2 linked regions of the Diceros bicornis minor genome follow. The protein of the gene in region 1 purifies or fractionates together with the protein of each later gene. This does not show direct contact. Links are inferred from orthologs where the notes say so. Each region holds a gene or a part of one and is shown in the gene's direction. Other genes may lie near its edges.

Region 1 (8,284 bases):
GAAATATTAAGAAAATCAGTATACAGGAAGTATGCAGCTAGGCCCAAATTTTGAAGATGATATAAGAATGAGTGAAGTTTGAGAAATACTACATTTTGTCTATTTGGTTAACATCCCATTGGTTTAGCCACCATGAAGGACAGAAAAGGATGTTCAAAGGAATATATACACGAAAGTCAGACGAGAAGGAAATTACTTCAAAATGAGGTAATCAAAAAAGGATTCACAGACAAGGTGGCATTTGAGCTAGGACACGATAGGTATGATTTAGACATGCAGAGACAGGGAGAGCATTTGAAGAGAGCAAAAGTGTAACAATACAGGCCTGAGTGGTGGCATGTTCCAAATCTTGATTATGGGGGTGGTTACTGGGGGGTGTGTATCATGTACACATAAAATGAGTGCACATTATTATATGTAAATTTTTCCTTAATAAATTCGATAGCATATCTTTGACCTATACAATGAAAAGTCATTGAGGTTTCAGGCTTGGATAGCTTGGGGAGGGGGGAAGTAAATGCAACAAAAAGGGAAATCACAATTTAAAGACAAGGAGATCAAAAGAACTTATGTGCACACAATAAATTTTCAATAAAAACTTTTAGTTATTATACAAAAATAGCAGCTATATACTTCTACTTAATAGTTTCACTTCAGGAAGAGAATTTACCTGAATTAAGGCTTATCCATTAAAATTAAAGGTACTATTCCCACCCGCCTCAAACAAAGGAGCACATTACTAGCACTCACCCCTAACAAAGTAACAAAGAACGGACAGAAGTATCCATGTGTGCTAGTGATATCTGATAGAATTTAGCAAAATAATTTAAGATTGTATTCAACACTTAGATCCCATTTGTAAGCAACTTGGAAATAACTGTCTTAGAATTTGTTTTAACCTTTAACTCTTTTCAATGACCTAAGCTCTTAAAATTATGTAGTTATTAATTATGAAGTACGTTTCAAGTGGCTTTTTATCACATTTCATAGTTTAAGAATTCATGACTAGAGAGGCAAACCATTCATAATAAAAATAATGCCATTATCAAGAATTTACTTGTTGGAACTTTATAGCACCATTAACAAAATCCATAACTTGACCATAAAATCAAATTCAAAACATGAATTAATTATGGTTATAGAAAAGCACCAAGAGACCAGAAAAAAGAAGATAATCTCCTGCCATAAATGAAAGCATTAAGTCTCACAGAAACCTATGTGTACCCTTAATATTAATATTTAACTAAGCTTTTTGTTATACCAGTGAGTTGCCACTAGATGTTCATGCTCCAGAGAGCTTAAACTGACAGCCGAAAAAGCATAGTGTAGGGAATTTTAGAGCTGAAAGGGGACTCAGTTCAAGTACAGTAATTTTCAAATAGGTATTCTATGTAATTATATTCTAGGAGATGTTAACACGTTGGCCATGAGAAAATAGGCTCCCTGGCCATGTAAGTTTAGGAAACGCTTCGATAATCTTCTCTGGAAATTTACATGCATATAAACATAGCATTAAAGGTTTTGAGAAGTCCTGCAGTTAAAAGTAAATTAAAAGTTAAACCTAATTTAACCCAATGTGCTCCCAAATTATTTGCCATGGAACACTGTTTTGGGGCAGTAAGCCTATTAATGGATTCAGAACAGCGTTCAGGGGAAGCATCCGTTTGCAAAACTCTGATCCTATGAAATTCCCTTAAAACAGGTGACAAAACTGAGGCCTAGAGAGATCATACCTGGTTAGCAGAACAAAGGACTTGAGTGAAATCATTCATTCCTAGGCCAGAGCTCTTTCCACTAATTTAACTACAAAATAGGACAGGCTTGACTGTCAACCCTCAAACATTTAGTTAACAACATTTAACTTACATTCAACATTTTGGTTATGGTGTCATATTTTCTGGTTTGTGTATTAATTTAGGTGTTTTTAATTCTTCCTTTAAGACTTGGGTTCCTAATAATCAGGCCCACCTGGCGATTTGCTATTGTTTAGCAATTCCAGGCAATGAGTTCCTTCAGAGTGGCAGCTGAAAGTAATCACTAAAATAAAGCATTTATACCACAACTGGTTTGGTTTTAATTTACTCTTGTTATAACGTCCGTCAACTCAACTAAATCACTGTGTTGTTTATCAGGGGGTGAGTTACTTAGCCGACGTGTGTTATCCACAGTAAAATGCAAGATCTTATGTCTGCATAGAAGGTAGCCAACGACATCGCAATTGAGAGATTTTGTCTTTCTATAGTTCAGAGCTTGTCAGCCTTAGCTTAGCTTATTATTTTTTTGGTACTTATATAAAAAAAAGTTTTTATTGCTTTAATTACAATCTCCAAATCAGATTTTCCCAATCTTTATATTTGTCAACCTCCACAGAACTCTAAGATAGTGTAAGAATAATCAAAACACAATTTACTTAGCTTTAAAAAAAGTACAGTTTTGTGTCACCCCCCCTCCCCCCTCAGGATACGGGAGAAGAATGGAAGAGAACAAGTAACTATTGTTATGTCGCAACTTGAAAAGGCTTGAGAATCAAAGGTGATCACTGTTAACAACTTCCTTACGACTAATCGGACTTCCTCTAATAAACTTCTGCACTGCTCTGCAACCCCGCCCCCCGCCCCCCCGCGGAACATTAACCATGGCTGGCCTTCACGTCTCCTCAATCTTAAAAGCACCCACCAGATGAAGGAGACCAGACGATGCCTAGATTCTGCCAACAAAGAGGTTACCCCGCGCGCCCCGATCGCACAGGTGCGACCTCCACCCCAACCTTGCGCACGGCTCGGCCTCAGCGCAGAAGGCTCGGGACCGGCCACCGGCCACTCCGGACCCCTGCGCGGGCGCCTCCGCCCGGCCCGCGGGTCCCCAGAAACCAGAGCGCGGCCGGCCGGCTTCGCGCGGGCTCCAGGCGGGGCCAGGGCGGCAACACCCCCGGCGCCACAGCCGCCGACCCGCGGGGCGTCCCCGCAGCTCCGGTGCGAGCCGGGCTGAGGAGGCCGCTCAGGGAGGGCCGGCGGCCGGCCTCGCGACCGCGCTGGGGGCGGGGACGCTGTTACCTGCCGTGGGCTCGGCCGCTCCCCGCCGGCGCCGCTCTCCTGGCAACCGCGACAGCGACACCGAGGCCGGGAGCCCAAGGGCCTACTGACAGCTCCCAGCGTGCACCGCGCCCACGCCGGCGTCGACGTCGACGGCCCTCGGTCCCGCCCCCTCCCTGCCTCCCTCCCGTCACAAGCTGTCGCGACAGCTCCCTCTAGCGGATTGTCGAGGAAGCGGCCCACGGCCACCAACTGCGGGAGTGGGCTTGGAGAGGGCTGTAGCAGGTGTTTTCAACTCGCCAGCGCCGGCCCCACCTTGATGGAGAGTTTGGCGGGATGCTAGGAATTGAGAACAGCTTTTAAATATTATTTAAGAATTAAGTATTATTTAAATAATTGTTCAGTATTTCATATGAAAAATTTGAGGCCCAGAGAAGTTAGAAAACTTGTGAAGTTGGGAAACAAATAGTTGTTACCAGATTTGGAACTATTTTGAGTCTAGAACTCTCTAAATCATGTAGTTACTACAAGGAGGATTACACCATTTTACCTAAACCGTAGGGTCAAAAAAAAATTGAACTTTTTTACGAATGTATGACTATAGATGAAATATAACAATCTTTAAAAATAATCAAACACCAATTATGAAGAGCATACTGTGCTAAAAATGTTATATATTGCAAAATAACGTGTCAGTATTTAAGCACTTAATAGCCTTGAGAATTAAAGGTGGAAGATAGAAGTTAAAATCATCACCCTTCATCACTCCTATTTGAGACGGAATAGCAGTAAACAATTCTTTTAACTGTATCATTACCTCCATTCATAATTTTGAATTATTGTGATGGATACAGGAATTTGTGAAACAATATGATAAACTTAAAAAACTCTGAATACTGATTTTAGAAAAATTCTCTTAAACTAGTATCTCTAGGGAAGTGGGCTTATTATTTGGAAAATCTTCAAATTAATATGTTTGGTGTGTGGTAATTACGACCTTGAAATGATAAAGTAGAATATCAATAAACATACGATTTTCTGTATATGCCATCATTTGTTTCTGCTTTAAATAACAGCCTCTTGTTTTTAAAGAATTATTATTATAATTCTACCGTGGCCTTATATTTTAATATTCCCCAGTTATAAGTATTTACATTATACTAGATCTTTTTCTTTACCCTGTCAAACTTAACCAAAACTTTCTTTTAGTAGTTATGAGATTACAACTTCTCTAGGTCAGTTTTTACTTCTGCAAAAGTGAATAGTGTAAATGTACATATGGAATCATTCTCATCTTCCTTTTTTCAAAGGTTATAGGAATGGTTTATCCTGTGATTCACGATACTGGATTTAACCACACTCTCTGCACAGACAGAAAACTTCTCACATTTTTGCCAGTGTTTCCATCGTGGTCTAAATTGAGAAGCAATGCCAAGTCAACCCTGGATATTTGTTGCCTCAGACAGGGGAGAGCTACGACCGACCGACCATAGTTCATAAAAAAGAGACCACAGTTCTTAAAAAAAAAAAAAAGAAAGAAAGAAAGAAAAACAAGATAAAGTGGACTTCGCGTGGGGAATTCTACTCTCGGGCTTTCTGGGGACGGTGGCCGCTTCCACCGCCTCCGTCCATCATCCCCCTCTTCCAGCCTCTTCCCTACCCGCGGAAGCCAAAAGGGTGTACTTCGGCCCTGATTTTTAAGGTCATTTCCAGGGAGACTATCGCATCAGGTCACGCCCGTAATTCGCGGAGTGGGAAGACAGCATGGCTCTCCCCGCCCACCTGTCTCAGCGAGTCGGAAAGCCGGGATTTGAGAATGCTCGCGCCCCGGCGTGGAGTCCCCGCGGCGGCGCGCTCTCCGCCCGGCAGGCGGCGCTGTGGGCTGGCAGGCTCTGCCCGCGGGGCGAGCCGGTCCGGGAGCTCCGCGCCGCCGCTGCTGCCGCTTCTGCTGGGGCCGCACGTGCAGGCGCTCCAGGCCCTGGTGGCCCTGCTTCGCCAGAACCTCCAGCCGGGCGCCCGCCATGGCGTCCCCTGCGGCGGAGACGCGCGTGTTCCTGGAGGTGCGGAGACGGCTGCAGAGCGCGCTGCTGATCCTGGGGTAAGGCCAGGGGCGGGCGCGGAGCCCGGCTCGCTCTTCTGCTTCTCGGGGAGTCTCTGCCTCCCTCGGAACACCGATTTTGAGTTTCTTCTTTCCAGCTGCTTAAAGCCTCTCGGTTACTCAAGGTGGAGTGTTCTCCCCCCTCGATCCCCACGCCATAGTCCCCCCGTCGATTGGCAGTCCAGGCATCACTTGGGAGCTTGTTAGAAATACGGAGTCTCAGCCCCACACCAGACCTGCTGAATCGGAACTTACATTTTAACGTGCTTCCCAGGATTCAAATGCACATTAAAGTTTGAGGAGCACTGGATGTGAAATACCGTTGCCAGTGCCCGGCGTTTCCAACAAAACATTGCAAAAAATGCCTTGTCTACCTCTTTCGGAATCCTTGTTATAAAATCAGTTCCAGTGGGTGAGCTTCCTGTTTTGTAAATAACTTCAGGGTTTTTTCTTTTTTTTTTTTTTCTGTCCTGTGCTGAGAAAGTGACACAGTCATTCAGTAAACGTGTGTTGGGTGAACGACTGACAAAGGTTGCAGACTTCTTACTGGAGGTCATTCTTTTATTCATATTCCGGGTTCCAATGAGAAGTCTGCAAACGTTTAACTTGTTATTCACTACACAAACAAACTTTTAGGAAAAGTGTTCTCTTTTTTGTTTGGTAGTATGTGGTCCCCTCGACTATTCCATCGTGACTGCTGTTTCAGGGTAAATTAGATGTTAAAATCCTGAGAAGTTTATTACACAGCGCCACACTTGAGGTAGATTGATGCTTAGCTTTCTGTTTTTTCCTTAAATCAGCCAGGTGTCTAGTGAGACAGTTTGGGATTTGGCATGAGAACTGAGTTATTTAATCTGAATTTTTTCAGTTGTAACGTGGGGATGATATTTATTACTTTTCTTCTTTTTTTTCCGCTCTCTTTTTTCCTCTCTCTCTCTCAAATCATGAGTTCAGGTAAGTATCTCCAATTCCAATCCACCTTGTAGGGTTATTAGGAGCCCAAACAAAACAAGTCAAGCCAGCCTCCCTACTTCCATCACAGGGGCCCTTCAAGTTTCTCCTGGGTTCCTCTCCCTTGTTTAAGCAAGTTAAGAAGCCTGACTTGACTGGACGACTGCTTTGTCCCTGGTGGCCTCTGGCTGTTGATCTTTATCATCAGCCAGTTCCCTCTACCCTGAAAGCAACCACTGTTCTGATTTCATTCAGCAAAGGTTAGTTTTGCCATTTCTTGAACTATGTATAAATGGATTCATGCAGTATATACTTTTTTGTTTCTGGCTGCTTTCCTTCAACAGTGTTTCTGAGATTCATCTTTCATCTATGGCATTGCATATATCAGTAGTCCATTCTTTTTTCTTGCTGAGTAGTTTTCCACTGTATACAACAATTCATTTATCCATTCTTCTGTTGCTGGATATTTTGCATGTTTATAGAGCTTGCTTATTATGCATAAAGCTGCCATAACATTGTTGTGGTTAAGTCTTTCTGTGGACATACATTTTCATTTGTCTTGGATGGACTTGCTAGGTCGTAGGGTAGATGGGAGCTTTACTTTATGAGAAACTGCCAAACAGTTCTCCAAAATGGTTGCACCAGTTTATATTCTTGCCAGCAAAAAATGAGACTTCCAATTGCTTCACATTCTTGTCTGCATTTAGTATTGACAATCTTTTTGATCTTAACCATCTCTAGTGGTATAAAGTGATATCTCATTGTAGTTTTAATTTGCGTTTTCCTGGTTAATACTGTTGAGCACCTTCATATTTGCTTTTTGGTCATTCATATATGCTCCTTCATAAAGTATCTTCTAATTATTTTCTATTAAAAAAAAATCAGGGGGCCAGCCTGGTGGCGTAGCCGTTAAGTGTGCATGCTCTACTTCAGCAGCCTGGGGGCTCGCGGGTTCAGATCCTGGGCCTGCAGCGATGCACTGCTTGTCAAGCCATGCTGTGGCGGCGTCCCATATAAAGTAGAGGAAGATGGGCACAGATGTTAGCCCAGGGCCAGTCTTCCTCGGCAAAAAGAGGATTGGCATCGGATATTAGCTCAGGGCTGATCTTCCTCACACACGCGCAAAAAAAGAAATAAAAAAAAAAATCAGGTTGTTTGTCTTAGGGTTGAATTAAAAGAGTTCTTTATATGGTCTGGAAACAAGACCTGTCTCATGCCTTGTGAGTGTGTGAATATTTTCTCCCAATCTGTAACTTACCCTTTCATTTTCTTAATAATGTCTTTTGATGAACAGAAAATTTTAATTATAATGAAGTCCAGTTGCGTTTTTTTATTTAATGGTTAGTGCTTTTTATGTCTTAAGAAATCTTTGTGTACCTCAAAGTTGTAAAGACTTTTTTCTTATGTTTATTTTCTAGGAGTTACATAGTTTTAGCTTTTACATTTAGGTCCATGATTATGTCAGATTCATTTTTGTGTTTGGAGTGAGGTTGGGGTCAAAGTTCGTTTTTTTTCCATAAAGATATCCAGTTGTTCTGTTACCATTAGTTAAAAAAACTGTCATTTCTCCTATTGAAATAACTCAGTGTCTGTATCAGAAATCAGTTGACTGTATTGTTTGCATGGTTTGTCTTTTTCCACCCTTTTACTCTCAACCTATGTCTTTATATATAAGTTTTTAAGTATATACTTTATACTGGGTGGAGTTTTTAAAACTCCATTCTGACAATCTCTTCATTTTAATTATAATTTTTAGTCTATTTACAGTTAATGTAAATAGTATATTGAGTATTATTCTTGTTCTTAATCTTAAATGCCTCTAGCAGGGGTCATCATTAGATATGACGAAGTTGACTTTTGATGAATCTGTTTGGTAGATTGCGTAGTTCCTTTTTATTCCTAGGTTACCAAGGGTTTTAATCATGAATAGATACTGTTTTTTTTGTAGTGATTCTTGCATGTATTGTGATGGTCCTATTTTTTTCCTTTAATCTTTACATCTGTGAATTGCAGTAGAAAAGGTTATTTATGTTAAACTATCTTAGCATTCCTGGGATAAACCCTGGTCATTCATTTATTCAGTCCACAGATGTTTACTGAGTTCCTATTCTAGTACCAAAAACTCAGATTCTGAGTGTTGGGCATACAGCTCTGAACAATAGCAGCAAAGACAAAAATACTTGCTCTCATTGAGCTTACAGTC
Region 2 (8,373 bases), on another chromosome or scaffold:
TGAAGAACATGAAAACATGAATGTGAAAGCATATTTGCACACCTATGTTCATTGCAGCATTATTCACAATAGCCAAAACTTGGAAACAACCTGGTACCTATCAATGGATGAATAAATAAAGAAGATATGGTATATGTATACATCTATACACAATTGAATACTACCCAGCCATAAAAGACGAAACTGTGCCATTTGCAACAACATGGATGGACCTTCAGAGTATTACGCTAAGTAGGGCCGGCCCCGTGGCTTGGTGGTTGAGTGCACGCGCTCCGTTGCTGGTGGCCCGGGTTCGGATCCCGGGCGCGCACCGAGGCACCACTTCTCCGTCCATCCTGAGGCCGAGTCCCACATACAGCAACTAGAAGGATGTGCAGCTATGACATACAACTATCTACTGGGGCTTTGGGGGGGGGGGGGAGAGTATTACGCTAAGCGAAATAAGTCAGACAGAGAAAGCTAAATACCTTATGATTTCACTCATAAGTGGAAGACAAAAACAACAAACACACACACACAGATACAGAGATTAGACTAGTGGTTACCAGAGGGGAAGGGGGGAGGGAGGAAGGTGAAAGGGGTGATGAGACACGTGTGTGTGGTGATGGATTGTAATTAGTCTTTGGGTGGTGAACATGATGTAATCTACACAGAAATTGAAGTATAATGATGTATACCTGAAATTTATATAGTGTTATAAACCAATGTTACCTCAATAAAACAAATGCAAAAAAATTTTTCTAATAAATAAGTAACTGATAATGGCCCTAATACTCAGTCCTTCTCCCTCAAAGGGCCTTCATATTTTAATAAGGGTAGCCTTTCCTCAATGGATGGATTTTAGGCAACAAATCGTTTGTTTTGGCCACTGGGCTTTTCCACAACTCCATTGTCTTTTCTCAAAGAGCTTCTTCTGGGAAAGGGGATGTCACATGGTAAGAAATCTGGCAAGGTGGAGGGCATGGACCCACCCTTCTTAGAGAATCTAATGAAAGCTAAAGGCTCTCTACTCAGAAAAATCCACATACCTGAACCTATCCCCCCAACCCCTACACACAATCTCAGAGGGTGTTCTCATTTCCAAACAGCTAGGTGTGGTCTGTTGTCATGTGAGCAGTATGATGTATCCATGTTTGCAAACACCTTTTTAAGATGAAACGTGTCCAGAATTTTGAAGTTCAAAGGTAACTTAAAATAAGTTGACAGCTAATCATTGGGTATGTTCATTGACATCAGGGTTATAATAGGAAAGGGTGCAATTTTATATATCCCTCACAAGCTTTGAAGATCTTCTAGAACTCATCTCTATGTCTCCAAGCTACTTCAGATGTAAATCTTTAAAGCCCCAGTACACAGTTCTAAGTCCTTCTAAGTTCTTCTATGTGAGCCACCAACACGGCGTGTCGGCCTACAGATGAATGGTGTGATTCTGCCCCCAGGAACCGAACCCAGGCCGCAGAAGCGGAGTGTGCCAAACTGTAACCACTACGCCATCAGGGCCGGCTCAGACAAAAATTTTAATGACCACCAATTCCACCACCAGAGATCATCTGTTAATATTTTGATATATGTCCTTCCAGATTTTTCTCTATGCTTATTTTTTCCTACAAAAATATTTTGGGATCATACTATACATACTAAATGTGCTTTTTTCTGTACTGTATTATACTCATTCATTAGATATCTGAGGGCCTAATGTTCCAGGTACTGGGAATCCAGTGGTAAACCAGAAGGGCAAGGGCTGCATTTTCATGATCTTACCTTCAAATGGGGCAAGCCACACGCTAAAACAAACAAGAAAATGCCAAATATGAACCACGGTGAAAATAAGAATGACATGGGCAACTTCAGATGGGGTGCTGGAGGCGGGAAGAGGTTGTCACAGGGAGTCAATGATGGTGACACAACTTCTTGAGATTCAAGGGCCCGTGTGCAGGCTGCACAGGAGCAAGAGTATTCTGCCATCGGGAATGAGGTATAACGATCGGGGGAGAAAATTCGGTGGCGAGTATGGAAAGGGTTAGGGATCAAGGCATGACGGGCCTTGTAGACACAGCAAGGAATGTGGATGTCAGGCAACGGGAAGGTGTTGAGCAGATCTGGTTTTAAAGATCACTAAGACTAGCACGTGGAGACGAGGTCATGAGAAGGGAAGAAGTGAGGAGACCAGTCACGAAGCTACTGCAGAAGTTTGCGACAGAGATGACGTGGTCAAGACCAGACCCGGCAAGAAGTGGGTGTGTTTGGGGAGTGGAAGAGCCGACAGGACCTGGTAACTGAACGGCAGTGCAAGGTAGGGGGAAGAGGAATCAAGGATCACCTGTAGGATTTAAGCCTAAGCGGCTGGGTGGACAGTACTGAGACTGGGGAAATAACAGGTTCGAGAAGGGAGAAGCAAGATTTCCATTTTGAGATGCGTATCCGACATTCAGGCAGAGGTATCTGGCAGGCAGTGGCATGAGTCTAGAGCTCAGGTATGGGATAAAATTTTGGAGTCACTAGTCTCATCCCACATGAGATCCACGAAGGCAATTTTTTTTACAGGTATTTAAAAACTTTTAGATTGAAGTACACGATACATACATAAAAGCCCCCTATTACTAGTGTACATACAGCTCAATGCATTTTCACAAACTGCACACCCTGTTAGCAAGATTAAGAAACGTTACCCTCACCCCAGAAGCTCACTCCTGCCCCCTGCGCATCACAATACCCCACTCCACGCCCCCTTCACAATCATCAGCCTGATTTCTCACTGATTTATTTGCCAAGTTTTGTCTATTATATAACAGAATCATACGGTATGTACTATTTTGCACCTGGTTTCTTTCACACATTGTTAGTGATCCATCCACATGGTTCCTTCATGTCCATTGTGTGGATATACACATTGTATTTATCCATTCTACCACTGATGGGAATTTGGGTAGTTTCCACTATTGGTGTATTACAAATAATGCTGTTATGAATATACGAATTTTAGCATATGTCTTTTGATAGGGATATGTATGTGATTCTGTTGGGTGTATATCTAAGAGTAGAATTTCTTGGTCATAAAGTATACATTACATTCAACAGCAATTTTCCAAAGCGACTGGCCCAATATGCACTCCAGCATCTGAGAGTGCCAGCTGCCTCACATCCTTGGAGCACGACGACTGTCCTGCTCCTTCCTTACCTACCTGTACAGCAGGCGCACCGAGTGTGCCACAGACAGCCGGGAAAAGAACCAACCTGAGCACAGACGGCAGTTAAAGCTGTGGGCTTGAAGATCATCTTGGAGGAAATATGATTAGCTAAGAGGGCTAATGAACGAGACCTGGGTGACCCCTACATTTACAGAAGGGGGAGAAGAGGAGCAAGCAGAGGAGGAAAAGGGGAAGCACGGAGTTCTATAAACCAAGAGAAAATGTGTCTCAAGGGGGGCAGTCAATCGCTTTGCATGCTGCCAGGAGATCCTAACCTAAGAGGAAGGCAGAGGCTGGAAAAGGAGAGGAGTCAGGAGTTCTAATTTTGGTCATTTCAAGCCTGAGGAGCTTACGCGTTAAATCATTCAAATGGAGACCTAAAATGGGCAGCTGGAGTTTAGACCCTGACAGATGAATCTCGTATTTGTGAGTGTAAATATACCTGCGAAGGAGACAATGTAAATGGAAAATGGATGAGGTCACAGCCTTGAGGTGTTTCCACTTAGAAGTTGAATCGAGGTAAACACCTGCAAAGCAGACCACACAGTGTCGATGTCTGATGAACTAGGAGAGAAACCTGGAAAGTGTCTTGTCATAGAGTAATGCCAACATCAATTGTAGTAAATGTTGCTGAGAGTTTCAACAAAATGAGCACTGGATTTAACAACTACTCCAGTCAATGAACTTGCTTCTGCAACATCACTTTGAAGGGCTGCACAGAATCCCATTTGCATGGCTGTATCAAAATCTGCTTGGGCCGGCCTGTGGCTTAGTGGTTAAGTGCGCGCGCTCTGCTGCTGGCAGCCAAGGTTTGATCCCGGGCGTACCGACACACCGCTTGCCGGGCCATGCTGAGGCCGCGTCCCACATACAGCAACTAGAAGGATGTGCAGCTATGACCTACAACTATCTGCTGGGGCTTTGGGGGAAAAAATAAATAATTAAAGAAAAAAAAATCTGCTCAACCAGTCCCACTGTTGAATCCTTCCATTCTTCCCCAACCTTTAGAATCATACATAATGTTGCCTTGAGCATGCTGTTGGAGTTGGAATTGCTGGATCAATAAAGTATTACATTCTAAAGGCTTTGATACAGCTACCAAACGAGTCTTGAGAAACGCTTTACTAACTTCCAGCACCACCCCAAGGAGGTACAATATGGGGCTGTAATAACAGCCTTTGCCATTTGGATAGGTGGTATGTGGTATCTTATATTTGCATTTTATTAGTGGTAAAGTCATTATGTTTATCGATCACTGGTTATTTATGAACAGCCTGCCGAGATGTCTTGCTCAAATGAGAGTTGTTGCAGGGCAAACTGTATGGAGACATATCCAAAAGACTGAAATGTTGGTTTAGCAATGTGAAAAAAGCAGATCAACTCCAGCTTGAATCCCAGCCTGTGAATACACTAGCTGTGTGACCTTGGTTAGGTAACTTCTCAGGTCCCATCTTGTCTGTGAAAGGAGGATCAAGCCCACCTTGAAGTGTTGTGAACAATGCCGGATATTACAATTATGATGATGGTTATTCTGCAGAAGTACCTGCACCATGTCACAAGAATCTAAAAAACGCGGGATGCAGCATAGTTGGTGGGTCTGAAGTTGCTACTAAGTCTACGCTGGCCTTTGCACCGTCCCTCCCCGCCTCCTGCCCCTCCTCCCTCCCGGGTGCTGGCGGTGTCCCCACGGCAACCAGCACGCGCTGCCCACGCTCAGCTCTCCGCCGGCGGTTGCGGTTACGGAACCGGCCGCCGCACTCTCCGGACAAGCGGTTCCGAGGCGCACCCACCCCCCAGTCCGGGACCCATCTCCCGCGGCCGAGGGCCGGAGCCGCGGGCAGCATGGCCAGGGCGGCAGCCTCTTCGGCGCTGGAGGACTTGGACCTGAGCGCAGAGGAGGTCCAGCGGCTCACCTCGGCCTTCCGGGACCCGGAGTTCCGGCGAATGTTCTCCGAGTACGCCGAGGAGCTCACGGACCCGGAGAACCGGCGGCGCTACGAGGCGGAGGTCACGGCGCTGGAGCGGGAGCGCGGCGTGGCCGTGCGGTTCGTGCACCCGGAGCCGGGCCACGTGCTGCGCACCAGCCTGGACGGGGCGCGGCGCGGCTTCGTGAACGTGTGCAGCAACCCGCTGGTGGGCGCGCCCCGCGGCCGGCCCGACGGCCAGTGGTCGCTGCCCTACAGCCTGGCGCCGGGCCGCGAGTACCTGGGGCGCCGCGGCGGCCGCTACACCGTCTACGACGTGGTCTTCCACCCGCGCGCGCTGGCGCTGGCCCGGCGCCACGAGCGCTTCCGCCGCATGCTGGACGCCGCGGCCCTGGACGCCGTGGAGACGCAGTGCGGCGTGAAGCTGGACCGCACCAACGCCAGGACCCTCAAGATCAAGTACAAGGGCACCCCGGAGGCCGCCGTGCTGCGCACGCCCCTGCCCGGGGCCGGCCCGGCGCGGCCCGACGGGGAGCCGGAGGGACCCCTCCCCGGCCTGCCCTACCCCTACCCGCCGCCGGCCCCGCGCCCGGCCGCCCGGGCCCCCGCGCCCGCCCCTCCGGCCGCCGGCCCGCCGCACGCACCCACCGAGCCCCGCTACAGCGTGGTGCAGCGCCACCACGTGGACCTGCAGGACTACCGCTGCGCCCGCGACTCGGCCCCCGGGCCCGTGCCCCACGAGCTGGTGGTCACCATCGAGCTGCCGCTGCTGCGCTCGGCCGAGCAGGCGGCGCTGGAGGTGACGGGGCGGCTGCTGAGCTTGGACTCCAGGGCCCCCGACTACCGCCTGCGCCTCTCGCTCCCCTACCCCGTGGACGACGGCCGCGGCACGGCGCACTTCCACCGGGCCCGCCGGCAGCTGGTGGTCACGCTGCCCGTCGTGCGCCCCGCCCCGCGCCCCGCGCCGCCGGAAGAGCCTGCCCGCGCGCCCGGAACTGACGCACGGGGCCCGGAGGAGAAGGAGCAGGAGGAAGAGGAGGAGCAGAGGGGGGAGCAGGAGGAGCAGCAGCGGGAGGAGCGTGGGGAGCAGCGGGGGGAGCAGGAGCAGCGGGAGGAGGAGCTGGAGGAGGCGCAGGAGGAGGAGCGGGGAGAGCAGCGGGAGGAGCAGGAAGAGGAGCGGGGAGAGCAGCAGGAGGAGCAGGAGCATCGAGAGGAGGAGGAGCAGGAGGAGGAGCGGGGAGAGCAGCGGGAGGAGCAGGAGCAGCGAGAGGGGGAGCGGGAGCAGCAGCGCGAGGAGCGGGGCCCAGGCGGGCCGGCAGTGTGGACTCCGGCCGTCGGGGAGGAGCCGCCCCCCGGAGCAAGGACCCCCCCCGGCGCTCCATCCAGGGCTTTGGGCAGGGGCTCCGGTGCAGGAGGAGGAGACGCGCGCGGGGCCCGGGCAGGCGCGGGCGGGGAGCCCCCGGGTGCGGCCATGGGTGGTCCCGGGACCGCCCGCCGGGAGCCCGTGTGTCCCCCTTCACAGTGCAGGCAGAACGAGGAGTCCGTGACTCTGCTGGTGCAGGTGCCTCGGATCCAGCCGCAGAGTCTCCACGGGGACCTGAGCCCCCTCGGGTACCAGTTGCGCTTCTCCACCCGAGACTCGGCTTCCTACGCCTTGGTTCTGCGCTTTGCTCCGGAAAACACGTTGGGCCCCCGGGAGCCCGTGGTCAGCGTGTCCCTCGACAACGCGGTGATAGAGCTGGCCAAGGCTCCAGAGTGCCGCGGGCACTGGACGGCCTGGTGGTACGGCTTAAACAGCGATTCTTTGGAGGTAACGGTCCTTGCTAGAGTCTTAGCGTTTGAAATATTCCGTCCCACTTTAGATTTGCTGTTACGGGCGTTCTCAGTTTATCCCAAACGCAGCGTTTTCCATTGTAACTTCTGGTAGTGACTCGAAATTGGTGCACGTGATGAAACGTGCCAGCGCGCGTTAGACGACCATCGACCAAAAGCTGACGCGCGTGCCCTCGGTGGGCGGGTCTCACATCTTAGCCGCCCTTCACGCGCTGGTCTCCCCGGAGTGACCCCCGGGTCACTCTGCAGTTGTGGGCCGGAAGTCGAGGTGCTTTCCTCTGGGGAGAAGGGCCGTCTTTTGAGTCGTATTCTCTGAGGGGCTCGTGACCCACATAGGTTTGTGGGGCACTCCATTGTGGCCATATTCTAAGTTGGTAAATAACGTTTTCCGACTTTAGAAGGTAAATTTACTTCCGGAGAGCAAATGTGACCCAGCCGGCGCCACGCAGTTCTTACGTGGGAAAACGGACTCAGACCCAGGGGTGAACTAGATCCCTTGCCCTTTGGGCCACATGGTGCTGCCGACATATAGTCGCTGACAGGGGTGGGGTGTCCTCTGGTGGGCGTTATATATTACATGGAAATCGCCTCTTTTTGAGTCTGTTTTAATCTACTTGAGGTCTCCACCAGTATTTGGCACAATGGCCGGCATGTAACAGTGTAATATAAACGGTTGTTCAACTGAACAGCATCAACACCAGCTACGCCTCTTCTGGGCGAATACTCTAGAACTGGGGCTGCGCTGACCTAGTTTACTTAGATATATGCGATAGGATATAATTCGGATGAATAACGTAGTGTGTCCTGTTGTAGTTGCTACTATACTTTTTAGGTTATTGAGGTTCTTGAATTTCAGATTCAATACTCCAGTACTGCTGGCAAATATTGAAAAAAAACTACTTAAAATTTGAAGTTCTAAAGAACTTTTTAATCTCATAAACAATTGGTGTGGTTGAGGTTTGTATCAATGTTACATGTAATTTTTTTTTAGCTTTTTTAACATATTCAAGGGTTAAATTCCCAGAAATACTAGTTGCACAGATTATATATTAAAAATTAAGTTTTTGGCCTTGGGCTTTAACCTGCTAGAAATTTTCACTTCTTCCCATTGTTTTTCTAGAAATTTGCTAAGTTACATTTATATTTTATGAGGGTTATCTAATGTGAGAAGTGGTTAATTTGAAACCCTCCAAAAATGGTAAAATAAATAGCCAGGGCTGTATAAGATACTTTGTGAGGATATAAAATATGAAATTGACTATCTGTTTATGTCATCAGAAGGGAGAAATTTAGGAAAGGGCAGTCATTTTCCTGTAATTGTTTTAATAAATGTGAAAATAACTCACAATGTGGGAAGAAAGCTCTACAGACAGTTGAGAGAATACTAAAGAATATATTTTAATCTGACTTTCTAGTATGCTAACATT

What was found.
Region 2: the proteins of UBE3D (region 1) and DNAAF2 purify together in Homo sapiens (affinity purification with mass spectrometry; 4 studies listed by BioGRID and IntAct, counting the BioPlex papers as one, with this or other methods). This does not show direct contact. The link is inferred for Diceros bicornis minor from reciprocal best matches to the Homo sapiens genes UBE3D and DNAAF2.

What each region holds. Positions count from the first base shown.
Region 1 is NC_080762.1:48,601,096-48,609,379, forward strand, and holds the start of UBE3D (E3 ubiquitin-protein ligase E3D), read left to right. Parts: upstream 1-5,001; 5' UTR 5,002-5,053; coding exon 5,054-5,130; intron 5,131-8,284. UniProt on the Homo sapiens protein: E3 ubiquitin-protein ligase which accepts ubiquitin from specific E2 ubiquitin-conjugating enzymes, and transfers it to substrates, generally promoting their degradation by the proteasome.
Region 2 is NC_080744.1:2,322,781-2,331,153, forward strand, and holds the start of DNAAF2 (protein kintoun), read left to right. Parts: upstream 1-5,012; 5' UTR 5,013-5,030; coding exon 5,031-6,923; intron 6,924-8,373. UniProt on the Homo sapiens protein: Required for cytoplasmic pre-assembly of axonemal dyneins, thereby playing a central role in motility in cilia and flagella.